Arabidopsis thaliana: one gene and its partners. The protein of the gene in region 4 interacts with the protein of the main gene of each other region in a pairwise test. Each region holds a gene or a part of one and is shown on either strand. Other genes may lie near its edges.

Region 1 (7,361 bases), on a different chromosome or scaffold from region 4:
ATCTCACTTGGAATCAAATTCGATCTTCTTAGTATATAACTTAACTCGATTAGTAGCGATTACTTGAAAAATATTAGAGAAACAGATTCCAGAAGTTATCTCCTTCACTCTTCAGATTCGTAATGAATGTGATTAAGATAACAAAAGAAAAGTAAACAAATGGTAGTATCAACTAAAAGCTACCATTAAATTCCATTAAATAGCTTCACATGGGATATAACTGATGCTGAGGTATTAGATTTTATGGAAGGTCAATGGTAGTATTTGACATTTTGTTATATAATTATTTTATTTTCTGCTAAAACAACATATTCCTAGCTTTTTTATATTCTTATAATCTTGTGAAGCAAATTCAAAAATTAAAGAGGCCACTTTCACAAATCATCCCAGTTTAGGCTGTTGTATAATTGCCATTAAAGTTTTGAAACCCTGTTGCATAACTGTCGTTAAATTTTTTAGTCTATAAATCATTTTAAATTTGATTGTCCTCTTAATTGTGAAACATTTAATACACGAGAGATTCCTAAGTTATTAACAGCTATATTATGTCCTCGTGAGGTCTGTATTTTAGTTATTGGCCTCTTGTATTAAATTCTAGTAACTGTTTGTTTCATTTTTTTTAATTTGTTACTCTTTCGTTTGCTATTCAAAGTTCTAAAATTCAAACGTTATCCCTCTAGCTTCTCAAATAATATATATAGGAGATTTTATATAATTATGAAAATTCTACTTCAAATGACGGTTTAAAACGCAAGTTACAAACGTCTGTTTAATTGATCATAATAAACATTTTGAGAGTACTAATCAATAAATCATACTCATATCCAGTTACTTTCCATTGTTCAAATGAAAATCAATGGCTATCTTGATCGTAACAATTTAGAAAAATGAAAGTTATGCAAATATGTGAAACATTAAAAGTACAGTAATAAAGTTTATTGTACCATAACCTTTCGTCCAAATAATTTCCTGTTTTAAAATAAAAAGACAGGAAATTAAAGTCAAGTAATTTAACTACCATCATTAGATTAATCAAAGGAAATGTTTTTTTTAAAAACATTAATGGATATCCTTTTATTCTTCTAAATTATTGCTAAACATTTTGTGATAATTTTTACAATGACTAGTGAATCTGGTAGTTAGAAACATCTTAATGGTTTTCACCTTTGAATATCCAATTTAACTACCAGCAAGCACTACTTACATACATCTATCTACATCTTTCATTCTTTTATATTGTCAAAATTTGTCACCACCAAAAACATTGATTTATATTCAAAATTTGGAAAGTAACTCAAAGTAGTTGAGTTTTGTGGGTACCTTCAGAATGTCCATTTGATTATCAATCAAAAAGAAGTTTTTAGCTGGCGCATGAAACCGTCGTTGGAAACTTTGAAACGGATGCTTCACTGTATAAACGTACTATTATTATTTAATTTTTAATAACGAAAAGTAAATTGTAGATGAATTCTTTTTATTTGATTCATTTTTAGTTAGTGCTAGCCATTATTTCTATCTTTAACTATATTCAAAATTGTTTTTTCATACTATAAACTATTATTAGACCATTTTCTTGAATGAACCATACTTTCTAGACACTATTTCTAAAATGACTATAAATCACACCATGTAGTTCTATATTTGTATTATTGTAGTTTATTGATTTAACATTGAAAATTTAATAAATTATACAATTAAAAAATTAATAGGTTTTAATACGTGTAAAATTATAAAACAAAATTTATAATGAAACAGAGAGAATAGTAAAAACATTTATGAGAAAAATATGTATTGGTGTCACTAAAGTTATTTTAGACATATTTTCATTCAAGAAATCAGTTGAATAATAGTCTTACTGTGACAAACAATTTAATAGATAAAACATTGAGTAGTATTAACTAATAAATGAATCAAACAAACAAAGTCTAATTGATAAAATACGCCATATAAATAAACTATAAGTTTCTTTAAAATATACATTAAATATACAAAACGACAAATTTATGAAACAAAAAAGTGAAGTCATAAGATTAAAACTATTGTGAAATGGATGACAAATTCAGTTTCTTCTTTATTCTTTAAACCCTAAGTTTAAATTCTTTCAAACACAAATCGTAGTATTTGTAAAACTGTTATTTTCTTGAAATATAATTTAACGTTACATTAACAAATCAAATGGATGACATATTACTTAAAATTTAGATTACCAATAAAAAATCATAAATTCTTCTTTTAAATTGTAAGATTTAAGTCTTCCCCTTTACATTTAGCAATAAATAGTTTGCTGCACTGGTTTAAATGCACTAATGCATTGTTTACTGAATTGTCTTTTGTTTCATATATTTGTCTCTACTATACTTTTACTAACTTTCCCACCTCCAATTAAAAAAATTATTACGAAATAAACAAAGTCATATCTCTCTCCACAACATAATTACTTTATTCAACAAATATTAATTCCTAGTCATATTTTAGCTCCTCTTCTTCCTTATATATTACATACATACATTTTCTTTAGAAGTCATTACCATCAACCCATCCCCTAGAAAAACACAGAGAAAAACAAATACAAGAATACAAAAACCCTCTCGACGAAACCGAAGTATCGAAATGAGAAACAAGAATGGTAAAAGAGGTAGCGTTGAGCCCTCGGCGAGGACCGTGGCGTCGGTGGTTGCTAATGGGAGGTTTGAAGGAAGATCACCATCGAGCGACACATCATCATCACAAAACTCGTGCCTGACGAGGACGGAGGAAGTGAAGGAGGAGGTTGCATCGTCGTGGGTTGATGAAGAAGAGGCGCCGGAGATGGTGGTGATGGGATGTCGAAGTTGTATGATGTATGTTATGGTCTTACAAGAACGTCAACGTTGCCCCAAGTGCAAATGCACCGACTTGATCTTCTTTTAGAGAATTTGTTTTAAGTTATTATTCAATTTGGACTTTTGAGTTTGAGATGATGAATTTAATTTTCTTTGTAAAGTCCTCTATATAAATCATATTGTTTAAATTATAATCTCTATTTTAATATGTTAAATTGACAGACAGATCATTTCTGTTTGTGGCCGTCCCTCTTGGTTCATTTTGTTAAGTTGTCCATTTTCATGTTTTAGTACTATGGAAGCCAATGACATGAACGAGGATGGATTTTCATCGGAGTTGAATTCGATTGTTTCAAACGCTAGTTATGGCGTTTGCGTTTATATTTATTTATTTGTATACTCCAGAGAAACATAGTTTTTCAATGTAAATGAAAAACGCCAAAAAAAATAGAAAGTTTATTTTTAAAAATTACAAAATATAAATTTAAACACAAGTAAAAAAATCGACACGTCTCGAATTAGGGTCTTAAGAATCAAATTGGTAGTATGCTAATAATGGTATTGCTTTGGTTTCATCGGCATTCAATCCGATGAAATTTTCAATAATTAAGGTTAAAAGTTGTATCTTCATCAATTAAAACGTTATTTATTCAAAACAATTCACCATCAAATTCAATAAAATTTAAGAACTTTTACAAACTTCAAATATTAAATTATTTAAGAAAATATTTTTAAACCTAAATTTAGTGAAAAAGTAGCAACTAAAATTTGTTTTAATGTATTTTATGACATTTTTCTATTTATAAGTACTAAATTTTCAAAAATCTAATAAATAATTAATTTCTGTTTTTCATATATATTAAGGCACATGCGACGACATATATACGTGACAACATTTTATCCTAAAGTTTTAACATGATTTTTGAAAAAGAAATTTACATTTTACGATAATTTAGTTGCAAATCAAGCGAGTTTTAATATTTCAATAATTTTCATGTATATAGAAATTTTGCATTGCTAGTTAAAATAATAACAAATAGATGTTGTCAAAACTCGAAAATAAAAGGGGTGTTTCTGTAGTTATCATAATTTAAGGAATTATATGATAGAAAAACAAATTTGGGCGGTAAATTTGAAAAAAATAACTTTTTCCAGTCTCCCCAAAAGTACCCGATTTGCCAAATTTGACCCTCCCATTTTAGCTTTCTGTCTATTCACCAGATTCTCTCTATTCGATTCTCCCTTTACTTCTTCTCGTCTCTCTTCTCTGCTCGTCAGATCTCAAAATCAATCGGATATCGAAACCACAACTTCATCAATTATGACTCTTGGCTCAGGAGGATCTAGCGTTGTTGGTATAAAATTTCGATTCTTTCGGGTTTGTTCTCGTTTTTTGATTTTGATTCTAGGGTTTTGGAATAATCCCTCGTTTGTTTTTTTTTCTCTAGGGTTTTGGTGAATTCTTCTTTTGGTTTTATTCGTTTTGATCAATAGGTGTTGAGATTTCTCATAGGTTCTATCGATCTAGTATAAAAAATTGTAGCTTTGTCTAAATTGTTCGCATATAGCTTGATCTGAATCAATCAATTTTAACAAATCGCTGAGAATGATTTGCTGATGTCTCAATTCCTGAGATGGGTTTAAAATGCTATTCCTGAGTTTCTTATTGTTTCTAAGACCTTAGCTAGGAATGTTTTCATCTTCTCTATAGCTCATTGTTAACTTTGTTGAGTGTTATCTTATTTTAGTCTTTGTGGATAATGATTAATATGATATGTTCTGTTCTCTGCTTTGATTAAAAAAAGTGATTGCTTGTTTTCATTTACTGATATGAATTGTTTTTGTTACGCTTGTTATTGCAATATAGTTCCGAGGAATTTTCGGTTGTTGGAGGAGCTTGAACGTGGGGAGAAAGGTATTGGGGATGGAACTGTGAGCTATGGAATGGATGATGGAGATGACATCTATATGCGTTCTTGGACTGGCACCATCATCGGTCCTCACAACGTAGTTATATCTTTTTCTTTATCTGCTAACATTCTCCTTCGTCTTCATATATGTTAACAATTGTTTTGAGAAGCATAGATTAATATTATTTGCATCTCATTGCTTGGAATACAGAACATCAAAACCACATTGTTTTCTAGGCATTGATCTTATCGACATACAATCTCTTAAGCTTTATTTGAGCAGATTATGCCATTGTTGCTTTTGCTTGTAGTAACAGAGATAAATTTTATGTCACAGACTGTTCATGAAGGTAGAATCTATCAGTTGAAGCTCTTTTGTGACAAAGATTACCCGGAGAAACCTCCAACTGTCCGATTCCATTCACGTGTCAACATGGCTTGTGTCAACCACGAAACAGGAGTGGTACGTATAAACTCACCACCGCCCTTCCTTTCTCTGTTTTGTTTCTTTGGATGCTCTGTAATTTTTTTATGCGTATGTGTATAGGTGGATCCTAAGAAATTTGGGCTACTTGCAAACTGGCAAAGAGAGTACACAATGGAGGATATACTGGTACAGTTGAAGAAGGAAATGTCTACGTCGCATAACCGTAAGCTTGTTCAACCTCCGGAAGGTACTTGCTTCTAGTTACTTCTGGAATCTTCTTCTGGTTTGCTAGAAAATCATTGCCCCTTCTAATACCAAAGTATGTATCTGGGGGTCCTCCATTGTCGTTCTCAACGCTTTTTTTTTTTTAATTCATCAAAAAATGGTCTGTGTGGATGGTATGGTGATGATGATGATGTTGTCCGATTGATCATCTGAAGTTTTATCATTGTGTGCAAATATCAAAAACAGCTTCTCTTCCTCACTCCATGTGTTCAATCTTTTGAATTTAACATTTTGTGTCAGCCCTTTTTTTATATATAAATGAAATCTGCTATATTTAATTGGTTATTTGTTATGTAATACACCAAGGTTAAAACAAGAAAGTATCATAAAAAATCATGAATCTTTGTAATCCGAACTAATGGAAAAAGAAGCCATGAACAGCTTCGTAACCCTTATTTTTGTTTCTGTGATTCATCTAAAGCCAATGCTTACGGTGATTAATAGAACCTTTGAAAACTAAGTGTTACTTTTTTCTACAATTAGCACACTTCTTATTGATGATGATGCACGTCGATTTGCATGTACTTCTTGATGTTCCGCGTCGTCGTTCTTGACATAGAAACAATCATTCTTCGACATGTAGACTTCTACTTTTAGGACACTGTTTAACTTGCTTGTAAGTTGATTACGAGTGGTCTTAACCATAAACGGACTCCATGAAAGTTGATTACGAGTGGTCTTGGAAAATCAACTTATTAAATAAATGAAAAAAGTGGTTGAACGTAATTAAACCTATAACACATTTACACATTGCTCAGAAGCTCAATTAATTTATGTTTCATCAGATTTCAAGCCCAAACATTAACACTCATGGTTGGATTGATCCAGCCTGGATCTTATGGTGATAAATGTTATCTCTGTAGTTTTTTTTTCTTTTTTTCCTTTTTATTGTAAAATTTCGTTTTTAGAATGGAGAAGAAGAAAATAATTTTTCTTTCACAATATACTTATATGATATAGTTAGAGATTATAAAATGCGTTTAGTATAGATATATTTGACATTCGGTTGCATGATGACAAAATAAACAATAAATAAATGTGGTGGTGTCCTAATTAAGAACTTTGGATCCAAACAACAACTTATAAGTGGGTGAAATAATTATATACATATAGTCGAAAGCAAGTACATTTTAATTTACTATAATAGAAACATTACATATTTACATGTACATTAGCAACATATAGAAATATGCTTAAATTGATATTGGAAAATTAGATTCCACGAAATGTAGTGCTATGTGAAAACTTGCGTTTCAAACTTTGCATTATGTTTAGGATATATACGCATAATCACAAGCCAGTTTTCTTAAGTGAAGTTGTCAACTAATAAATATGGTGACACCGTGAAATTAAAAGTGGAAGATATATTGTTACATCCATATTTTAACATTTGAGTGTCGAGTAGCTTTAAAGGAACATTAAAAAGAATATAAATTGTGATAGGTACGGTTATTATTATGTTTACCAGAATTAGACGGACCGCAGACGAATGGGACAAATTGTTGTTATGGTTGATAGATAAATATGTACGACCAAACTTATAAGTAAAATTATGGATCAGCATGTAATACGGTCAATGATGTTTTCTAAACCCTTGTTTACTTTTAATCAAAGTTATACTTTTAGGTTCAACAATAAATACTAAGTTTCTCATTTTGTATTTATACTCCCCTAAGTATATTTCTCATTTTGAATCCACCCAAAAAATAAAACGATAGCAAACAACAAAGGTGGAAAAATTATGAAAGTCCCATTTTTAAACAAGAGTTTTTCATCTTCATGTTATTCAAATTCAAATTCATCATCATGGGGATGGCCTTCTTGTCACCAAAACCCTAGAACTCAATCTTTCAGAATCACCATCAGCACAATCAACCCTTATGACGCCGAAGATGAAGAGGAGGAGGAGGATAAGGA
Region 2 (7,990 bases), on a different chromosome or scaffold from region 4:
TTCCATGAATTGGCTGGACGGCCTGCTTCTTGGTGGTTTGGTGATGACAAGGTAAGCAATGCATACTTACTGATGTACATTCTAATCGGTATAGATATAACTGCATGTTTCTTATCCAGTTTACGTCTATCTTTTGGATAGGTTAGAGTTTTCTATGCAGTGAGACTCTTTCTCGGACTGGTTTCTGCAGTTTCAGATACTGTCCTGGTTGTTGCGCTCTCCAGAAAGTATGGGAAACGTATCGCTACCTATGCAGTTGCGATGCTCTGCTTAACCAGTGGCTGCTTCTTTGCTAGTACCAGTGAGTGTTTTGTTTTGTTTTGATTTGTTGTTACACTTGCTTAAGCTTTCTGTCATATTTCCTTAATATGCATATATAGGCTTTCCAAGTTATTCTTGCATCCGATAGGTTTTAGTTTCAAATGCTTGTATAAGTTATTCCAAAGACATTGCTCTGAATTTGGCTTTGTGTTCTGGTTTCTTACTAATTCATGTTTCTCTAAAATTTTGATAGGTTTCCTCCCCAGTTCATTTTCTATGTACGCCATAAGCCTCTCATCTGGTTTATTACTTTTCGAGAAGTATGCCATGGCTGTTGCAGTTTCGGTTGTCGGGGTGATTCTTGGCTGGCCATTTTCTATCTTGGCCTTTTTACCTGTCGTTATTTACTCTCTGGTTAAGAGATTCAAGCAAGCATTTATCGCTGGTGCAGTCACCACTATATTTCTCCTTGTAAGCTAACACCAATCCTAGATGCTTTGTCTGTGTGAATTTTATGGGAATTATTGGATCTCGCTGACTTTCATTAGCACCTGTAACTTTAAATTACTATTTTCTCTTCTAATTAGTTTTGTCTCTTTTCTAGGGAGTCTCACTACTTGTGGATTACTATTATTACAAGAGATGGACATCATCAGTTTTGAATCTCTTGATATACAATGTGTTAGGGGGTGGAGAGAGCCATCTCTATGGGACTGAAGGAGCGTTATTTTATATAAGAAATGGATTTAACAACTTCAACTTCTGTTTCATTTTGGCAATGTTGTTTGTCGCAATATATCCTGTTATCAGAAGGAAGTATGACCGTGCCCTGCTGGTTGTGATTTCCCCGATGTATATTTGGCTGGCGTTCATGTCACTTCAGCCCCACAAAGAAGAAAGGTGATTTTCTAAGATCTTTCATCTTGTAATTTTTTGAGCATTCGTATGGTGGCTTCTATATCGTTGAGGAAACCAGTTTTATGATACTTTTACAAAATCACGGTATTCAACAAACAATGTTTTTGATTGTCAATTAATTGACTGCAGGTTCCTTTATCCTATATACCCTCTTATTTGTGTCTCTGCTTCTGCTGTTATTGAGAACATCCCTGAGCTGTTCCGGGAAAAGTATAGCTCACGTGAAAGTCTTCTGGTGACAGTAAGTTCCAACTTACAATATCTCAGTCTCTGATTTATACCTTTCCGCAAATTGAAAAGAAGTAGATTGTACGATTCTCACATATCTGTTTAATACGCAGATAACCAAATACATGCGACCTGTGATTCTTGGTTGTATCTTATGTGCTTCACATTCTCGCACATTTGCTCTTATTAATGGCTATTCCGCTCCCTTGGAGGTCTACAAACTACTGGAGCATCATGATGATGCAGGACCAGGTATATCCAATTCGAACTGAACTTCTTGATCATTATAATGCTAAGACGAGTGAAGATCACATCTCACTTTTACTTCAAGAATAGTAATTTGCCATTGGAAAAAGGGTAACAAAGTCCTTTTGACAAAAGTTTTCTAATCACTGATGACTTCTTGGTTGGTTTTGTATGTCAGGTTCTGTTCTATGTGTGGGAAGTGAATGGCATCGATACCCATCATCGTTTTTTGTGCCCCACTACATTAGCGAAGTACGGTGGATCGATGATGGATTCCGCGGTCTTCTTCCATTCCCATTTAACAATACACTTGGAGGCACTTCAGCATCACCTCCATACTTCAACAACAAGAACCAAGCATCCGAAGAACAATATGTAATACTCACACACTCTTCTCTCATGAAACCTTCAAAATATCTCTAAACATAAACTTAATCATGGCTTGTTTACTCGTTCCATTTTTTCCAGTTAAAGAACATCGAAACTTGTACATTCCTCATTGAGTTGCAGCTTAGCAGACCGTATCAGTATCGAGGCAGCGACTTATCTACATGGGAGGTATAGGAATCAAACCATCTTCCTGAAACAGAATCCATCTTTGATTTCACTTCACTTCTTCAATTGGTTGTTTTGACCCTTTTTTCAGGCTATTGCGGTGTTGCCTTATTTGGACAGAGAGCTGTCGCCAGCTAAGTATAGATCGTTCTTCATCCCGCACATGTGGCAGGAGAAAAATGTGTTTGGCAAATACGTAGCACTGAGAAGAGTCCCAAAATGATCACAAATCGTTAAAACTCCTTAGACTTGTAGCTTTAACTCAGTTCATTGGGTAGTTTTGGGAGAATGTAATAACTAATAACTGATTAGTATCGGCTTTAAGTTCAGGTACGTTCACGGTTCGTAGTTGTGTTGTTGTGAAAGAGACTAGTTTTAACTTTGTAAGAAATCTCCAAATGGTCAGAAGAACGTGGAAGATTATGTTTATGACATTATTGTGCAAAGTCTATATTCTTTTTGTCTTTTGATATTGCGGATTCCAATTTTGGCTATCGAGAAAAAGGGAGAAAATGAGAAGACTATGGAGGGCACTTCATAATTCATATTTCTGTCCTCTTTAAGTTAGCGTTTGACCAACGCGTCGTAAAAAGGTACAGAAGAAGAACGCAATAGAATTGAAGATAATGAACTAAAAAAGTTGTGTATATATATTGTAAAAGATTATCTTTGAAGAAAAGAATAACCTAAACAAGGTATTAATTTTTCTAAAAATTTGATCGAGTCATCGAGATCATGGTAGGTATATTGACGTTTGTAATAATGTTGTCACTATGTTACCACCAGACTAATAAATAGTGCATGTCGTTTACAAAACTAAGAAAAGATTATTTTCTTAGTAGTTTTCAATCATGGTTAAAAAAGTATTTGAATATGGAAATTATTCTTAAAAAAATTGAATATGAATATGGAAGAGAACTTACAGAAAATTATTTACTAAATGTATTCCTTACATATTTCATGTAATTATATATTTTTACTAGCATAAAAGCATCAATTTATTTCCGTAAAGGAAAAAAAGAAAGAATTAAAAGGATCAAAGGGGCACGAAACTAGAGACGACGAAGCGTACTCGATTATTATCAGCCTTTGGTAGCTTCGTTCTCTCTCAAAAACCCTAACTTCTCTGTGACGATCGAATCCGATAGCGTGCGATAATGGCCAATAGTAATCTTCCCCGACGAATCATCAAGGTTAGTTTTCCGATCCTCTGTAGCATCCTCCGATCCGTATCTCCCCTCAGTTTCATTTTGGGGAATTCTAATCTGAAATCCGAAGAAGGAACCGACGGATTATATACCTCAGCAGAACTGGGAAGAATTTTCGATAGCTTGTACGATCTTATATCATCTTCGTCATCTTGATCTGACTTTTTTTTGTTCTTCGATCTGATAGGAAACTCAACGTCTGCTTAGTGAACCTGGTAATTTCATCACTTCATTCGATCCTTGTTGATTTCTCACAGTTGATTTTAGCTCAAACAGTTGGTTTTGGTAGCTGGAACTATTGATTTTAATTCTAAGTTGTATATCTTTCGAAATTGCAGCTCCTGGGATAAGTGCGTCTCCATCAGAGGAAAATATGAGATATTTCAATGTTATGATTCTTGGTCCTACTCAATCTCCTTATGAAGGTAGTCAAATTGTTTTAATCTCCCAAAGATGCTCATCGTTACTTCTTCCTTTTTCTTCTTTAATGCATGCTGCTCAACGATTTATCGTTATCGTTTCTGCTGCAAGTAGTGACTCTGCTCTGTCTCTATATTTGTTTATACAAACGGATATGTTCGTTTAGGTACTACTAGGTCTCATAGATTGCTCATGTTCGGATTGTAGTGTTATGAATAACGATGAGTCTTTAAGCTACCTTTGAGTTCATTTCGACACATTTTATTTGTTCTAGAATACACAATGCCAAGTCGAATTTCCAGAATCAAGTCTGCTGTTTTATCTATCATCATATTTCTGTTAATTGATGTTTACCAATAATTTTGTTTCCTTCTCAATCTGTAGGAGGAGTTTTCAAGTTGGAGCTCTTTTTGCCTGAAGAATATCCTATGGCAGCTCCCAAGGTAAGTTGCTTCAACTTTTGTGTGTTTTTCTTCTTTCATTTCATGTTTCACTTGTTTTGGTAACATTAGGATTACCCCACATAACATTGTTAAGTGGAGGTAAATGCTCTTTAAGTGAATGTCTCTCTACTCTTAACACTAGGATTTTATTTATGGGTTTATGAGATTGGTGATTTTGGTTTTGTTATGACTACTCCGAATGTATTTTCTTATATTATATTAGACAACGTATCCAAGTTTCTTCATTGATGTAGAGTTTATGGGTCTTATTGATGATATCATTTGAAACACAGGTTAGGTTTCTCACCAAGATTTACCATCCTAACATCGACAAGGTCTGTTGTGAAAAATTTCCTTTTCTTCTCTTACTGTCAAGATAACTAACCAAACACATGGTCTTTTATACTTATGGATCATGTTTTGTTTGCACTTATCATGTATATATAGCTTGGAAGAATCTGCCTTGACATACTGAAAGACAAGTGGAGTCCTGCACTACAAATACGAACTGTGCTCTTGAGGTATGAATATATCCATAGAATCTTCTTTCCCTACTAAATCCAAAATATTGTAGAAATTAAGATTTAATTATTCACACTTTCTGATTTTCCATTGCCGTGTAAAAACAGTATCCAAGCTCTTTTAAGTGCACCAAACCCAGATGATCCTCTGTCTGAGAACATAGCTAAGCATTGGAAGAGCAATGAGGCAGAAGCTGTGGAAACAGGTGATAAAATACGATCGAAAAACTCAAAAAAGTTGCAACAAAAACTTTATTCCTCTCCTCTCTAATCTGGTAATCTCATATCAATGTGAACTTATGCAGCTAAGGAATGGACTCGTCTTTACGCAAGTGGTGCTTAAAGAAGACTGCAAATGGAGAAAGATCATTGTCATTTAAATAACATTATATATGGTGAAACTCTATCTCAAGGTTTTATCTGAATCCTTTTTCTGAAAACAGAGGAAAAAGATTTGTACTCTCTGAATTTGTATAACTAGGGGGATCTAAGACTCGTTTACCCATATCTGGAATCTAACTTTCTTCAATTGTGCTTGCTTTTGATCTTTGTTTTTGTTATATATGCTCTATAATAATCTTTATAAAGTGGTGTAGATAATCAGATTTTCACAGGTTGTGAATCAAAGTAAATTGGATGAATGATGCATAATGTTACTATTACAGGTGTATGAAGCAGCTTATTTTGGTCAAATGTAAAAAAAAAAAAAAGTGGTAAAAATAGTAGTCACGAGGAATGAGACTTGAGATTTTGAAAAATGGGCATAATCAGAAACTTGACTCGTCAGTTGATGGACGCCTCAAGAAGTACCTCAGACTATTAGCAAGGACCTACAAATACAAAATTTGATTTCATTTCAGTAAAAACATTTCAACTTATCAAAGAGAAAAGTCTAATTTCAGAATTTTAACCTGCTGGAGAGGCTTGATTAGGGCTTTGTTCCTGTAGCTTACATGAAACTTCACCTTAGCCAACAAACCCTTTTTGTTTCACATACAACAAGAAGAAGCAACATGAGAAACAGAGCGATATTATAGCGGAGGGTATATGTTTTAGACATTAAAAAACAGGATTATTAGATACCTCGGTGTCGAATTCTCCAGATTCAACAGCGACGCTGATATCTGAAATGATCTTCACCAGCTCAACTAATAGTCCAGGTCTATCCGCTGATTCTATGAAGAGTAAACTGCATCATCAACAAATAATTATGGATCAATGATCAGATCATATATCATAAGAATAAAAGCATTTGGATAAGGTTCTAGAGTTGAGATAAGGTATGGGTATACATTACCTGCGGTCTGGTCCATCATCTTCAATGGTTATATGTGTTGCTATGTCCACGTCAATCTGTCAACATCCCAATCCAAAATACAGAAGAAGGAAAATGAATTTTGAAGCTACTTTGAAGTTGCGTGGGTATTCCCTTCTTCATCAAAGTGATTAATACTATAATGAAGTTTAATACTTGTACTCTACATTGACCCGCCAAATCCAAATATGTTGATTATTAGTTAAGTCTTTGTTTTCTCTATTATTGTTTCTTATCTGTACGTGACCGAGGAAACGACAAGCAGTCTTGACCTTTATGTTCGAGGATGCTAACTACTTGAAGAATTAGTGCAATACAAAAGAAGTGGATAAGGTTATAAAAAGAGCATCACAGTTTAAGGTTTTTACCGGTTCAGTTGGAGGAAGAACACCAAAAGCTGCTCCCATTGCCAACTGAGAACTTGATTCCTGATCCAAATCATCGAGAAGCAATGTGTGAGTTAAAAAATTATGCAAGATATAGGAAAAATAGAAAGAGAGGATATTAGGATGTGAAGTAGTTACAGGATGAAACTCAAGCAGATTGTTTATGACTGTGAGACGAATGGCCTCAAGCAATTCAGGGTCTTCTACTTTTCTTCCACTATCTCTGTTGTAACAACAATTACAGTCAGCTCAAAACTCAATCTAAAGTCAACTATTTGACAGAGTCAATCGATTCAAAGCAACATTAACTATCTAAACGACTCTTGGAGCTCAAAATACTCTTTGATGATATGAAAAGACATACGCTCTAGTAATGGCAAATTTGTTGTGCTTGCCGGAAGAATCAAGGTAAACATTTGCCTTGACGACATTCAATCCCAAGTTTTTGAGCGCATTCATCTAGAAGGGCAAAGTTGATCAGATCAAGAAGCAGTCAAAAAAGCAGGAAAGGAAGTAAGAAGCTTTTGTGAATGTTGGTCGATTATGCAGAGCTAGCAACAAGTGAGTAAGAAGAAGGTATCCTTCCTTACAGTGTCAAGTAAAGCTCCAAGACGATCTCCGAATGTAACTTCAAGAACGGTTGCATCAGGGTCAGAATCTTGGTCGATTATAACAACTGGAGTTGGAACTTTATCAGAATCAGCAGCACTTCCTTCTTGCTTTCCATTCTTCAAAATCAAAAACAAAAACATATAAACTTTAAAAAGTCTATTCAAATTACTAGTGTCCTTGTGTAATCATTTCATTTTCATACCTCCACAGCAGTAGCATTTGATGCTCTAATCTTCAAAGTGGATAATCTGAAGAAAAAAAAAAAAAAGAATTGAATTGAAGTATTTGAATCCGTAGAAGATCAGCTCAAAACAATCTGTGCTTTGAATCGAATTCCAGCAAAAGATACGAATTTATAACCAGCAATAAAATCATTTGGACATTTTAAAAAGATTAGCAACTCGGAACACAAAATTCTGATAATCGTTAAAAAAAGGTATCAGATGCTTTTTAAGGATTTAGAGATCTGTGGAGAAAATTCACTACAAAAGAATTTGTTTCGGAAACAGTATTTACTTCATGAAACTCGAATCAGCACAAAACTAAGATCACAATCGAAAAAGCAATCCAAAAGAAGCTCGAATTCAAATTCTCAAGAAGGCATCAAGAGATAGCCAAAAAACAAAAACCTTAATCGCTCGAGATTGACAAGAGGTTTATCGACAAATCCAAACGTAACTGTCCTAGGAGGCAAGCAAAGAGCTCCACAATCGCGTCTTAAAGCAAGAGAGCTAGAAGCATCAGTGAAGCAAAGAGCAGAACCAGAAGCAGAGGCCATAGCCATCACTCAAAAATCGGAATTAAGAAGAATGAGGAAAACGTTAGAGAGGAGTAGTAGTAGTGATGACGAAGAAGAAGAAGAGCCTTTGGACAGGTC
Region 3 (6,803 bases), on a different chromosome or scaffold from region 4:
TTGGATCTCAAAATTAAAGAGAATATATTGAATTAAAAAATGTAGAAAGAGTGATGGTTCAAGTTCTGATTAATTATATCCTCCTATTTTAGTTATTATGTTGAATTAATTACTAATTATGTATTATTTATTTTATGAAGTCTAGGTGCCAAGCTCTCATGTGCTGATGTGTCAAATTGTGGGAGAGAGTTGACCAACTTTCATATATATGATTAGGTTAATTAGATAAGACCTAAAACGACGACGTTTGCTGCTCTCTCTGTAATCTCAAGATTCTGATTAGGGAAGGATTTCAAAACGGTACGTAGTCGGTTTAGTTAGGGAGCGGTAAATTGGTCAGACCGGACCAATGGTTTTATTACATTGATTTGGTTAAATGTAAATTTAATTCCTAGGTTCTTTCAAAACGCTGCGTATTGATGTCACCCTTCTCTCCTGAAGCCTCTCCATCTCCTCTCTATCCCTCGGTCTGCAGAAGAAAAAAAGCTCGGCAATTTCACATTATCAATATGTTATTAGATCAATGTTACAATCATTTTACAGTATTCAAATTGTAAGATTTATTGTAAGATTTTCATTTCTATATTTTAAATTATTGTAAGATTATATTATATATATTTATAGCCTATTATACATATTTATTATTTCTAATTCATAATTGTAAACTAAATTATTAGTGTTAAATCTTTTTTAGAGTGTTAAGACTTTAGAGTGTTGCATTGTTGAAGGTGATTAATTGTTAAAGAATGGATGATACATGCATCGTTATATACCACGGTCTATTGCACATCGGACATGTTCTAATCTAGTTAATTAGGATTAAAAAAGTAGATACCAAACCTTTTTCAAGAATTTGTAGATGAAATTTTAAAATCTATCAAAGAATTAATTCTAAGGGATTAATTGCTAAAGAAAATTAAATGAAAGCATATTTAATCATAAATTGTCTTAATTTATTTTCATTATTTTTAGGAATAATATAAACATATATTAATCAACATTTATTATTTATAGCATAAACAAATACATGTTTATTTATTTGCTCTTTATTATTCTAATATAAATTAATAGTGTTATATATTTTTCGCCACAGTTAATGTTAAATCTAAAGTTAAAAATCCAACATTAGATCATTATTTTCTTTATATATAGAGATACACAAATCTACTCCAAGAATCATCATCGTAGGAAAAGAATGGAGAATGATAAACATAATAATCCCAAGACAATATTTATACCAGATGATATAGCTGAAGGGATCTTTCACCATCTTCCAATAAAATCACTGGCTAGATTCAAAGTCTTATCAAAAAAATGGACATCGATGATCGAATCAACCTACTTTTCCCACAAACGACTCATTCGTACAGGCTTACCAACCCCTAATATGAAATTTCTTCATATTAGTCAACACTTTACAGCGAATTTTGTTGAAGAATATTCAAACTCAATAACTTTTCTTTTGGAGACTTTTTCTAGAGATGATCAAAACAACAGAAAAACTTGTCTTTCTTCTTCTAGTTACTACACTTTTTCTGGTGATCCAGTCGACGAATCTCAAAATAAAACTATTCAAGTATTGGGGTCTTGTGATGGATTGGTCTTGCTTCGGATCCATGACGATTTCAGGTCCATTTACTTGATCAATCCGACGACTAAAGAACACATGAAACTTTCTCCCGAATTTATGCAATGGCCATTTACTCTTAGTTACTTAACCCCCGCAATGGCCAATAAACCATGGAGACAACTTTCTCAATCAGTATTGGATTATGACATATCTGGTTTGTCAACTTTCTTGTTCTATGGTTGATTATAGAGTTGAATTTTAACTTTCACATAGTAATATGTTATATACCTATTTATCAAAAAAAAATTTTTCGTCAAGGTGGATTAGTGAAGAGAATGCCGTCTCTTGCTGGATTTGGCAAAGATATTGTTAAAAAATCTTATAAGGTGGTTTTGATATATACAAGATATGAAATACATGATCATGAGTTCAAGGCCAAGGTCCTATCCCTTGATAATGGTGAGCAAAGAGACGTAGGGTTTTATGACATACATCATTGTATCTTCTGCGATGAGCAAACATCAGTCTACGCCAACGGATCCCTCTTTTGGTTGACATTAAAGAAGCTTAGTCAAACATCTTACCAGCTATTAGCTATCGATCTTCACACTGAAGAATTTCGATGGATATTATTACCAGAGTGTGACACCAAATATGCTACTAATATAGAAATGTGGAATCTGAATGAACGTTTGTGCCTATCGGATGTGCTAGAAAGTTCAAATTTGGTCGTTTGGAGTTTACACCAAGAATATCCTACCGAAAAATGGGAGAAAATATATTCTATTAAGATTGACGTTATAAGAACCAACCAATTACATGAAAAGTTTTGGATGCTTGGTCTAGCGGCTGCCTATTTTTCAAATATCAGAAATCGTCAAGATCAAGTTTCTTTTTTTAGACAAAGAACGATTTCGTATTTGCCAACAATGATTTCTCCTTCAAATTTGATGCTTTGATGTTGTTAATTATACTTTCAATTTTTAACAATATTATATGTAAGTTAAAAAGAATATTTTTAAAAAAAAGATGTTTAGATATTTATTTATTTTAAGTATATTGTAATTTCTTTATTTGACATTATGGATTATTTTTATGTTTTATTTTCTCTTGTTTTCTTTCTTTCTGTCAATATAATACATATTTGGATATAGTTATGATGAATATATACAAGTTTTTGAACAAGTTTTTGCAATTTTAAAAGACATTGGAGAACGGAAAATGCAGTGATGCATTTTATGAAACAGTTCAGTAGCAGTCTTGTAACCAGCCGTGACAAGAAGCGTGGCTCTAACAAGAATGCAGAGGGAACTTCCAAATGCCAAAGCAACATACACAACCATTAACGTAGAAAGTTTCACAGGAGCTTGCACATCCTCAGAAATAGGAGTAGCCCAAGCCATCCAGTAGTTACTTCCAATCTGTAGAAGCTGAAAGAGAATTTGCCCCAACAATATGAAAGGCACAAGAGCTCCTCCGTATGCCAGTGTGATATATTTCCAGTATACATCCAAAGCGACGCTACCTTTCGCCCTCTCTTCCTCTTGAACAAATTGTCTTTGGGGCTCCCCAGAATCTAATTTATCGTTCTTCAGATCTTGACTTTCTTGTTTCCCGTCGAAACCAATATCATCTCTCACAACACCATTTTCTTCGTCTAAAGCTGAGTTTTCAGAAACAGAACTGGCATCAGCCGACCCAACTACTGCCAGAGACTCTTGATGCGCACCTATAAGCTCCCTGAAATCTGTTCCAGAGATGAGGATATCATTATATTTTCCAGCTTGGCTGATTCTCCCATCTTTCATGACCTGAGGCATAAGAAAATCGGTTATGGATGATTTCATATTCTCAGTGCTGTAGAAAATGATAAAAGACAGTGAACTATTCACATACCAGTGTAAGATCAGCAGAAGGTAAGAACTCAACTTGATGGGTTACATATATAACCGATTTAGAACATAAAAGCCCTCGTAGAGCTTCCTGAAAAAAGTATGAGAATGAAAATAAATTTGATACATGATTGTTTACGGAAGGAGAAATCACAATCACACTAATGGCTAAGTAAGAAGATTGTACCTTAAAGAGATGTGACCCTGTGTGTGCATCGACAGCACTAAAAGGATCATCAAACAGATAGATGTCCGCATCTTGGTAGAGAGCGCGTGCAATATGTATTCTTTGCTTTTGTCCACCACTCAAATTGATGCCGCGTTCTCCAATGACGGTCTGATCACCGAATGAAAGTATCTCCAGATCTTTACTCAAAGAACATGCTTCAATCACCTTATCATATCGTTCTCTATCCATATTATATAAACAGACTTAATATCAGTCATCTGATTATTTAAACTTAAATACAAGTGTATTAGACCTTGTTCTAGGAGCAGGCTCATATCGTTATGTATAAAAGAAGATATCTGTGTGAGATTGTTTTCACTGTGCAGTCCGAAAAGTGTTGCCTCAGAGTCTCCTGGATCAGATTATCAGTAGCTGTATCGATAGAAGCAATGGCTTCATCAAGAACCGGCCATACTTTGCTTTTCTTGAGAAAGACTCGTCTTACTGTGTATCAAGGCGTCGTAGTGTGTAGTTGTCAAAAACTTGTGGATCAGCAAAACAACATAAAGAAAGATCTTTGCCAAAAACTTCTGAGTTGGTATTACAGTCATTAAGAATGCTCGAAAAAGAAATTCTCACGTCCGTATTGAAAAACCTTCTTCAAGACACTCAGTTCTAAGATCTTCCATGAGACCCTGAAACATAGATGGATCGCTCGTCACAACAGCATCCACACCTAAGTGAAGCATCCTTTTCATGGGATCAGCATCATCCACAGTCCATGCATACACCTCTTTGTTTCTCCTGTTGATCAGATCGAGCAAGGTTGTAAACACATGAGCAGGTGTGTTTTTATTTGAAAACATTGAAATCGATTGCTTACCGACGGACAACTCTAACTAATTCTTCATCGATCAAGGGATGATAAACTCCCACAACCCTAGCTCCCTTCATTCTCAGCAGGCTGTTTCTCGCCCCAGTCAAAGGATCTACCATCACAATGTATCCCACCTGCCAAAATCACTAGGAAATGAGCAAGAAACTTCTCTATCTGATCCTCACAAGACAATCCATTTCTGTTTACCATAGTATCTGGTGCTCGTCTAATTATGTCCCTAGCCAAAGTGTCGCTTTTGGCCCATACGATGCAATTATTGCACTGCGCTCTCTCAATCTAACAACAGAGGATTGGCGATTCATGTGAGCAAAGCCAGAAATACCACCATTGAAACATCAACAATTTATCCATACTCTTGTTTTTTCAAGTATCTATAGTAAGCTGTTCTAGCTTTGTGTACAAAGATACCAGGAAATAAATGATTAAGCAACGCTATTAAGGAATCAAAACATGTTTATAAATCTCGAGCACATTGTACTAAAGCTTTACAAGTACAAGAGCTAACAAAAACATAGTACTTACAATAGAAAGGATGTCTTGTGCTAACCCCTTTTCATACATTGGCGGTCCAACTTTGGCATCAAGGATCACTTTCCGGACTGAATTCGATATCAACTAGATGATTCAAGATCAAAACTAGCTTCAGCCACTTGTTACTAAGCAGAAATTACAAAGCAAAGCAATGACAAGATAGTAATTAAAAAAACAGGCATTACCGCTAAAGCCTCTTCAAGAGTAGGAATCCTACTACTTCCCAAGGTTCCTTTAACAATCTCCGAGACATCGAGTTCCTTGATCTGCAAAAAGATCATCAAAAGGTTTATGAAAAATGGATGCAAAAAAGCATATCCCAAAAGCTGGTAAAGAGAGAGAGGGAGAGATGAGACCTGTTTCATACTCAGATCTCCAACTTGAACAGAAGAGTTACGAGCAATACGCTGCAGATCCCTGACTGTGCGTGTGATCAGAAGATGAATAAGAAGAACACCGATGAGAATCCAAACACAGAAACATTAGAAGAAGATGATACAACAAGGATCAGAGTCTGTAACCTGTTGTGAAGAGCGAATAAAACACCATCGGAGGAACGAGAAACATCGACTTCAATGCAATCAACTCGAGAACGTATAGCGAAACTGTAAGCGTCCATCTACGATTGAGAAGAGTCCAAGAGATTAAGGTTTAAAAAGGTTAGTAGCAAGAGTGTGAAGAAGAAGAGATCGAGAGTGTACGTACAGTGTTTGGGAAAGCGAGGGTGGAATCGCCGCCGTGAGCACAGACAAGTGGAGGATGGTGAAGCCAATCGCACTTTTGCGCGACAATCTGACGAATTCGTCGGAGCTTGAAATGGAAGTAGAGAGGAGGGAAGATAGCTAAGAAAATCACAGCGAAGAGAATCGTTCTCTTGAAATTTCTCGAATACAATGGGCTGAAGAAACGACGGCGACGAGTTCCTCCGCCGTCGAATGGCCGTCTTCTGTGCCGCCATTCAAAAATCGCCATTAGCTGAACAAGACAAAGGTTGTTTTTGGAGCTAAAGACGACGTTTACTGCAATCTTGGAAAAAAAAGAAGTTCACCAATCACCATCAAACTATATATTTTTTTTTTTTTGTCACAACTGTTTTATTATTTATATTACAAAGCCTTTTAACAAGCCATATTTTACAAAGCCATATAACAGGCCATAAACGGACAAAAGCCCAAAGACCACCTTCTGAAGAAGAGAAAGCTAATGTGCTAATAAGTCAAAGCCCACATGGCACTAGAGACACGGTAAAGAGGACACGTGGAAACAGAAAATGATGAGTTGCAGAATGTCGCAGGTGGAGAATCATAACCACAAAAAACTTAAGTTCACCGGAATTGCTGTAAACGCCAAATCGGAAGCAGCTACAAATCCGATGAGACAATTGACAAATCTTCTGTGACAATGACTGTAAAATTTAAAACCTTCAAGAAAGAAATAGCTCACAAACTATCGACTTCGACTTCTGCCATTTAAAGGAAAAACAACATAAACCCAAACGATTCAACAAGCATCGGCAACAAGAAAGACAAACAACAGCTCTAATTTCATCAAAATCAAACAAAAGACACTAAATTAAACTTCAATCCGTAACTAAAAATTTGATCTTTTAAAATGAAAACTCAATAAGCTTGAAGAACAAATTAAGCCCCTTAAAGAAGGGAGGATCGAAAAATTACAAATTTAGATCGAAATGAAGAGAAAGAGAAATCAAAACCAATTAAAACCGAAGCAAAATAGAATCGA
Region 4 (7,897 bases):
TGATTAATTAAAAGATTAACATATATGAATATTGATATATTGATACTAATTGATATTAATCAAAAGAACTCAAATACTTTATATGATCAATATTCAAATTATTTACTATTTCTTCCATCATTGAAAAATATGGTAAGAAATTATTGCATTTAATTACTAATTATTTACTATATATACACTTGTGGAATTTAATAAAGAAGTTTAAAGTTATTTTGATGTGCATAATCATATATTGAAGAAAGGACACAATAATACGGTTGATAAATAAAATAAATGTAAATTTTAAAATACAATTAAACAATTAGAGTATAATGTAACAACTTACAACAATAATCTAACACACGTATACAATTACCAAATAAAAGTCAATAAATTATATGAGATATATCATGGTTTTTACTGATTTCTAACATAGTATTAGAATGGTTTTTATAGTCTTTCTAATCTTTTTTGTATCTTTTTTAGTCATTACAGGTGCATATCTACTTTTAAGAGCTATGAAGCATAATAAGGAATTTTGGAAGCTTTTCAGGAAAAGAAGACAAGCAGAAACATTATTCATACGTTGGTGTCGATCGACACCACGTCAGTATCGATCGACACCACGTCAGTACCGATCGACACCCTTATCGACAAGGATATTTCTCACGTATCATAAAGTCTTTAAGAAGTCTAGAAATTTTTCTTATTTGTAAAATAGACCCTGCACGTTTTTACTAACCTATATTATATATATACTAGATATTAACCCGCGGTACCACGGGTGGATATGTTCATTAAAAAATTATAGATAATTTTTTTAAAAATTATTAATTGTATATAAATAATATATTCTTAACACATAATTTTTATTTATGTAAAGCTTCGATAATTCATTTTTATGTTCTCATATTTGTTAGTTAATTATGAAAATTCAATATTTATTTTTATGGTTTGGGTTTTTTAGAGGTAATAAAGATTTAAAACTTGTATTATTATTATTATTATTTTTTAACTTGTATTATTTAGAGATTGACCCGCGGTACATCCAGGGTTGAAATATTTCTTAGAAAATTAGATATTTTATTTTTATTAATATTGTTTATATATATAACATATTCAAGAGGTACATCAAACGTCTATATTTTTATTAAATTAAAAATATTATTATTGTTTTTAGGATGATCTATAGATACATGCTATTGTCTTTTATGTATGATAGTATGATACACCTCTGTATGATTTTTATAACTATTTTTTTTTAGTGTTTAAAATTGTATAATTGTATCATTCCGTATTAATATCGATCCAAACCTATCCCACCATATAACCTCGTCCCGTGAAATTAAACATCATTTTATCATTTTTTTATGAAGTTCGAATAATTATAATATTAGAAACTTCAAAAAAGTTTTAATATGGACCAAACTTCATAATTGTATATTGATTGTTACATATAGGATTTCACCCGTAATATATCGTTCAATATTAATATATTTTTAGTATTTATAATATTTTAACTTCTTATAAAGTTCAAATATTTACAAAATTTACAACTTCATAAAATTTTAAAATTTTTAAATCATTAATATTAAATTTATTTTATAGTTATTAACTTTTAAATTTTCTTAAGAAATTGTAATACTTAACTTTTAATAAATTTTAAATATATATAATATTTTAAAACTTTAAAACTTTTACTTATTTAAAATAAAGAACCGGAGTAAACCGAACAATACTTTTAATTTTGGATGTTTGATATATCAAGGTTCCTTCTCATTCGTATTCAGAATCACTTAAATATTTTTTATAGTATGACTCTTAACGATGTCCCAAATTTTTAAGCAATGTGGGACCTTTAAAACTTTTTTTTTTATCGATGGAGTATTATATGTCTGTTTTAAAAAATTTGAATTTTATCGGATGCAAAAAAATCTAATATTTTATTAAATATATGTATTTTATATATAAACTAAAATAGCTATATATAAAAACAAAGATAATGACAGAAAAATTATATATTTATATTTAATGTTGATATATAGATTTTAGGAAATTAGCCTTAATCGAATATAGTTCAATAAAAAAAAATTTAGTTAAGGATAAAAAATTAGGAAGAGTTGATTCAACTAATTAATGCAATTCAACTAATTGTAAGTTTTTAGTTATAAAGTATTTGATTGAGATTAAATTTGTAAGGACTAATATTGAAAATAGTAAATAGGTGAGGGATTTTTGGTCAAAAACCTTAGCAAAAATATATACATGTAAATATTTTAAGATTATTGTTTAGACCTAAGCAAGTTTTGTGTGAGAGATATACTTTTGGAGAGAAGAATCATATCACTAGCAGAAAAAGAAAAATATTTAACTTAATCTGCGTTGTAGACTTGTCGTATTTTCCTTGTTTAATTTTAAAGTAATAACAAATACTATCATGTATTGTATTGTACACTATTATTTTACAGTTGTCCAACGTGAAGTCACGATATGTTCTTGTTCCTAGATGGGATTCGAAGTCTTGCTTCTTCAAACTTCCAATCGTTAGAAACAAGATCCGGAAAATCCGAAGTCTTGATAATTGAACAGCTCTCCGAAATCAATAATGAACGACTTTCTTTAACAAAAAAACAAAAAGAAAAAAAAAATAATGAACGACTTTTTTATAACAAAGAATATAAAAAAGCTTTCAACTAAAACAAAAGAAAGCTTAGTTGTATTCACAAGTTTTTATATTAAATGGCTGGCTAATATATATATGCAAGGGGAGAAGGAGAAGAAGAATATCACAAAAATCGATCCAAATCTCCATATTAGCAGCCATGAGTTCAATGGGTGTATTTTGTAAGGAGGAAATTGGTGGAAAACCGAATTTGGTATACACATTAACACAAACAGACAACCCAACCTCTTCTGGTGAGGCCCTAACCATGGATTCTGGTGAGGACGATCTCCCTCTTCAACCTCTTTTTTTCTGTCCTATGGGATATAATTATATGTCCATGTATACTTTCTTAATTATATCATCCTCCATATATATATATATTTAACTAACCTTTTTTATAATTCATGATATATACTTGATCTTGCTAAATTATACACACTTTTCAAGAACTACAACTCCAAAACTGAACATATTTTGTAGAACTTCGCTAGAATCCTCAAATCCTCAAAACAAAACTAGTTTTTGTAACTTTTAGAATCTAGTAAAAGGGCAAGTTTCCAACTTCGTTGTTCCTAATACAGAGTTTATAACAAGAAACACCAAAACCTGGAAGAATTTTAGTTATCAAGAAATAAGAATCAGAAAGATGGAAAAATCTTCTTGGAAGACAGGAATCGTCAATGCTTCATAGCAAATGGCCTATGCATAAATTATATCTTAGTTTAGATTGAAAACATTGTGAAACGTTTTGTTGGTCGATTGCACCAAGTCTCTAAAATTACAACCCTCATCAACCATAACGACTATGGGCGGGTTAAGATAACTAAAACGAGACAGATAAGAGTTTTCTAACAGGAAGACCCCAACCTTCTTACTCTTTGTTCAACTTCTTGACGCTAATCCTCATTTCCAACACATCACCACGCAATAAACTGTTGGGAATCAACATGAAATTCTCTTGCGGGGTTTGAAAACTCAACTTAAGAACCCTCTTCACCTCTGGTGATTGGTAAATCACAGTGTGTCCATCGACAGTGTAAGAGAGAGCATATGAGTACTGACTTAATTCTGGAGAAGATGGCGCAATGCAGCTTACAGTTACATACACACCATACGGCTCCCTGAAACACTGCACTGCAAACAAATGATTCGTCAAGTGTTCCGTTCTAATCAATATCTTTTTGCTGATGTTCATCCGGACACTTAAGGGAATGTCACAAATGAACGTATTAATCTGGTTTATTTCCATATGGGTAATACGATAGTGAGTGTACAGATCCTTGTATGAGCTAGTGTAATTGCAATCCAATGCAGGGCAGGCGCAATGAGAGAACATGCATTCCTTTTCATGAGTTAACTCTTTCCCATAAGATACATTCTTTTTGCAACCTAACTTGGCGTTCGGACACGGGATCAAGATCGATTCAAGAACACTCTCCATTGCTCTGCAGCGATTGTGGCCAACAGGCGAAGTACACGCAGGGCATTTGTTATTTAGTTTGGGACAGCAAGAAGAACAAGCCAAATGTCCATTATCACACTGAAATTCAAAACCAATAACTTGTGATCAAAAGCTATAACAACGTCGAGATAATATTCATCGAATCGACCAAGGATAATAGTTCTCTCCCCAAATGATTCTCCCATATAATTCATGATATAGACAAGTTATACACATATTTTCAATAACTATATACAACTGCATACATGAACATAACTTACTAAAGTTCACTAGAATTCTATAAAATCATCACAAGCTAAAGCTTAAGGACACTCTTGAAATCTAGTAACTAGTAAATGGGCACAATTCCAACTTCTTCTCTCTGCAATTTCTTTAACATAACTTTCAAAAGTTCACTAGAATCCTCAAAAGCTAAGGCTACTCTTAGAATCAAGTAAATGGCCACAGTTCCAACTATGTTCAGAGTTCTAACCAAAACAGAAACTTTCTGAAAAATACGAAATGATTCAATTTGAGAAATTACGAAACCTGGAAGATGGGAATTGTGAAAGCTTCGTAGCAAATGGGACAATCGAGAATCTCCAGATCCATTAGCATTGTCGAGCGTTTCTTAGCGTCTCTCTTAGCTGCATCACTAGAAGAAAGTTGTCTCTTTTGCGAGAGAATGCTGTTAGATCCAATTCCTTCGCCGGGAGATTCCAAAATCGCGGCACCAACCATGTCGGAGAGATGACTAAACCCTAAATTCGCTTTTAGTCTTCTCGAAAACTGAGAGAGGCAAATAGAGAATTTAGTTGATTTTGTTCATTGATGGATGGTTTTACAGAGAAAGGAGACAATGGCACAAACTATAGATGATATGGGCTTCGATAGTTCTTCAATTCCCAATTAAGGCCCATATAATATATAAACAATACCTTTTTTTGATAAACTTATAAACAATATCTAATTTTTAAGTCTATTAATATTTACAATATAAAAGAATATAATTATATATATAAAACCATTTAAAAATTAATATTAGTCTTAAAGTTTATGTATTTTTTAATTCTTCAATTCCCAATTAAGGCCCATATAATATATAACAGAAACAATGTCTAAATTTTACAAAATACAATAATAATTATTTATTTAGTCTTAATAGTTTATGTATTTTTTGCTACATTAATTAATAAGCTAATTTTTATTTTTAAAAGTTATGTAGCTTTTATTTATTTTTTTGTCAAAAATGTGGTTTTGAAGTTGGGATTTGGGGCAATCACAAACCACTAGACTAATTTTACCTTGGAAGATTGATAAAAATAGCAAAAAAAAACAATTTCTTCAAAAATAGCAGCTCATTTGAATAGTTCCAAAATTACACTCAAAACTTTAATTAATTATTAAATATTTAATATAAATAACTAATTTAATTAAATAAATAAAATTAAATATTTCTCGCCAAAGATTTTTGTCAAAATTTTCTCACAAAAAAAAATCCGTCAAATGTTTCCCATAAAAAAAATTTAGGAAAGATTATTATACGAAATTTGGGAAGGATTTCACGGAATTCATAAAAGATTTCACAAAAAAATCTTTCCTAAAACTCTTCCTGAATTTTGTAGAATCTTTCTTAAATTCAGGAAATGATTCTTTGAAAGATTCCACGACATAGATGTCACTCCATTCAGTATCAGAGTCCTGACCTCTTTTCTTCAGGTAATTTCTAAATTTAATATATCATAGTGTTGACCTCTATTCCTCAAGTAATTTTCAAATTAAATGTTTAAAAATTCTTTTGATTTTTGGTGGTAGACTGCTAAGATTAAAGAGTCCGATATCTACATGATGAAGATAATGGAGTGCTATACAATGTAAGCTAGTAATTCAAACCTTGAGGAAAATATTATTGGAAACGCAAGGAAAAAATCGGCGGTTGATTCACAGAATTAACAGATATATAGGTTAGTATATGCTTAAACCAATATAATTTCAATAACCATATCGTTTGCAGAATTAACAATTTATGAGTTATATAGTTCATTTTTTTTGAATAGGGTCAATTACTATGCAGAAGTAGCAGATTGCTAATAAAAAAAAAGTTTGTGTTAGCATATTCATAGAGCATTCACCCAAATGATGAATTTGTGTACTTTTTGAATTTTTTTAATTGTTAATTTTAATAATTAAAAATAAAATAATTATTTGAATGCTATTTTGTCCAAAAAATGTTTGAGTGCTATTTTTTTCCAAAAACTTGAAATGGTGCTATTTATGGAAATTTCTATTTTAACTTTTGCTATTATTTTTTCTGCTAAAGATTTAAGAATTTTGGTATTAGCTTTTATATTCTTAACTAATATGTAAAATTGCAGTTAAAACTACCATATTGGAATTCTTTAATCATTGAATCACAATTCACAACTAAATTTTTTCTTCTGCTTTTAGACATCACACGTTCGTACGTTTACTTATAATTAGATTTCGACTAAGAGTAGAATAAAAGATGGAGACCATAATCATGACAAACGAAAGAGCACGCATTACTCCAATTTGGTCATGCATAAAGTATAGCTTAGAAGTTATTAGATTAAAAAACTGTGAAATGTTTTGTTGGTCGATTCCATCAAAATTTCCATTATCACTCTAAATGCACAAAAACGTGTTAAGCAATACCAAACAAATTGCATCAAAGCTGAATCAAGCCGTTAAGCAATTACATCGGATCTTAGTTCGTCAAAACTTATATAAATGTCAGACGAGATAGAGAGAGTAAAAAAATGACATTCCTTCCTTCTAGTTCTATATCACCTCAACATTCTTACTCTTGGTTCGACGTTTCGACGATAGAAAGCTTAATATCCAACAATTCACTACGCAATAAATTGTGAGGTATCAACATGAAATTCTCTTGAGGTGTTTCAAAACTCACTTTACGAACCCTCTTCATTTGTGGTGATCTGTAAACCATAGTGTGTTCATCCACAGTGTAGGAGATTTGATATGAGAACTGTCCAACTTCTGGAGCAGATGGTGCAATGCAGCTTACGGTTACATACACACCACACGACTCCCTAAAACACTGCACTGCAAACAATATTTTCTTCTCATATACCCTTGTAATTTGTATCTTATCGCTGATAAGCATCGGGGCCTTATATGGAATGCTAGATCTAAAGCAGTTAGTGGTCCAGTATGAGTTCGAGATGTGAGTCAGTTTATAGTGATCATAGAGATCCTCGTATCGGCCGGAGTACTCACAGTCCAATGAAGGGCATGAGCATAGAGAGAAAATGCATTCTTCTTCATGAGTTGATTTTTTCCCATATAAGAAACTCTCGGTGCAACCAAACATGTCGTTTGGGCATGTGACCAATATCGATTCAAGAATATTCTCCATTGGCTGATAAAGAAAGCACAAGCAGGGCATTTGTTCCTCAGTTTGGGACAGCAAGAAGAGCATGCTAAATGTCCATTCTCACACTGACATACAAAAAAAAAAACACTGTAAAAATTTCAAGAAAAAAAATATGTATTAAAAGCTGGAAAAAAACAATTTTTAGACAAGAAACAAAACCTGGAAGATAGGACACGTCAATCCTTCACAGCAAATAGGACAATCGAGGATATCAAGATCTAGCAATGTCGCCGAGCGTTGTCTCTTAGCCACTCTCTCCCCTCCATGACCTTGAGATATCAAAGCTTCTAAGGCTCCCACCATGTCACCTAGATATCAATAGTAAAAATATTATCATATTTTCATTAATCAAACAATTTTAAAACATCCTCGACTGATGAAGGCAGAAGAGTTT

The links.
Region 1: the proteins of AT5G37890 (region 4) and UEV1D-4 interact in a two-hybrid assay, tested with the Arabidopsis thaliana proteins (one large-scale study listed by BioGRID).
Region 2: the proteins of AT5G37890 (region 4) and UBC36 interact in a two-hybrid assay, tested with the Arabidopsis thaliana proteins (one large-scale study listed by BioGRID).
Region 3: the proteins of AT5G37890 (region 4) and NAP5 interact in a protein complementation assay, tested with the Arabidopsis thaliana proteins (one large-scale study listed by BioGRID).

Annotation. Positions count from the first base shown.
Region 1 is NC_003074.8:19,492,737-19,500,097, reverse strand, and holds UEV1D-4 (ubiquitin E2 variant 1D-4), read left to right. Parts: upstream 1-4,002; 5' UTR 4,003-4,143; coding exon 4,144-4,177; exon of another isoform or gene 4,178-4,200; intron 4,201-4,689; coding exon 4,690-4,829; coding exon of another isoform or gene 4,830-4,832; intron 4,833-5,015; coding exon 5,016-5,195; intron 5,196-5,279; coding exon 5,280-5,420; 3' UTR 5,421-5,721; downstream 5,722-7,361. Other genes in the region: AT3G52561 (uncharacterized protein), read left to right, coding at 2,611-2,910; AT3G52550 (transcription repressor OFP15-like protein), read left to right, coding at 7,186-7,361. UniProt on the Arabidopsis thaliana protein: Has no ubiquitin ligase activity on its own. The heterodimer with UBC catalyzes the synthesis of non-canonical poly-ubiquitin chains that are linked through 'Lys-63'. This type of poly-ubiquitination does not lead to protein degradation by the proteasome.
Region 2 is NC_003070.9:5,773,703-5,781,692, reverse strand, and holds UBC36 (ubiquitin-conjugating enzyme 36), read left to right. Parts: upstream 1-3,208; 5' UTR 3,209-3,365; coding exon 3,366-3,401; exon of another isoform or gene 3,402-3,603; coding exon 3,604-3,658; intron 3,659-3,754; coding exon 3,755-3,841; intron 3,842-3,864; exon of another isoform or gene 3,865-4,220; coding exon 4,221-4,279; exon of another isoform or gene 4,280-4,572; coding exon 4,573-4,614; intron 4,615-4,726; coding exon 4,727-4,800; intron 4,801-4,908; coding exon 4,909-5,006; intron 5,007-5,105; coding exon 5,106-5,143; 3' UTR 5,144-5,516; downstream 5,517-7,990. Other genes in the region: EBS3 (Alg9-like mannosyltransferase family), read left to right, coding at 1-51, 142-301, 515-732, 866-1,161, 1,309-1,420, 1,521-1,659, 1,832-2,028, 2,122-2,211 and 1 more; ACR11 (uridylyltransferase-like protein), read right to left, coding at 5,568-5,630, 5,712-5,780, 5,884-5,989, 6,098-6,153, 6,484-6,543, 6,640-6,724, 6,866-6,960, 7,092-7,229 and 2 more. UniProt on the Arabidopsis thaliana protein: Catalyzes the synthesis of non-canonical poly-ubiquitin chains that are linked through 'Lys-63'. This type of poly-ubiquitination does not lead to protein degradation by the proteasome. Mediates transcriptional activation of target genes.
Region 3 is NC_003070.9:26,881,290-26,888,092, forward strand, and holds NAP5 (non-intrinsic ABC protein 5), read right to left. Parts: upstream 3,881-6,803; coding exon 3,650-3,880; intron 3,554-3,649; coding exon 3,467-3,553; intron 3,382-3,466; coding exon 2,725-3,381; downstream 1-2,724. Other genes in the region: AT1G71320 (F-box family protein), read left to right, coding at 1,196-1,505, 1,548-1,784, 1,898-2,529; GDPD4 (PLC-like phosphodiesterases superfamily protein), read right to left, coding at 4,267-4,435, 4,515-4,642, 4,716-4,805, 5,052-5,144, 5,246-5,326, 5,417-5,477, 5,582-5,679, 5,766-6,032.
Region 4 is NC_003076.8:15,086,997-15,094,893, forward strand, and holds AT5G37890 (Protein with RING/U-box and TRAF-like domain), read right to left. Parts: upstream 4,960-7,897; 5' UTR 4,827-4,959; coding exon 4,635-4,826; intron 4,185-4,634; coding exon 3,516-4,184; 3' UTR 2,682-3,515; downstream 1-2,681. Other genes in the region: AT5G37900 (TRAF-like superfamily protein), read right to left, coding at 6,907-7,488, 7,663-7,806. UniProt on the Arabidopsis thaliana protein: E3 ubiquitin-protein ligase that mediates ubiquitination and subsequent proteasomal degradation of target proteins.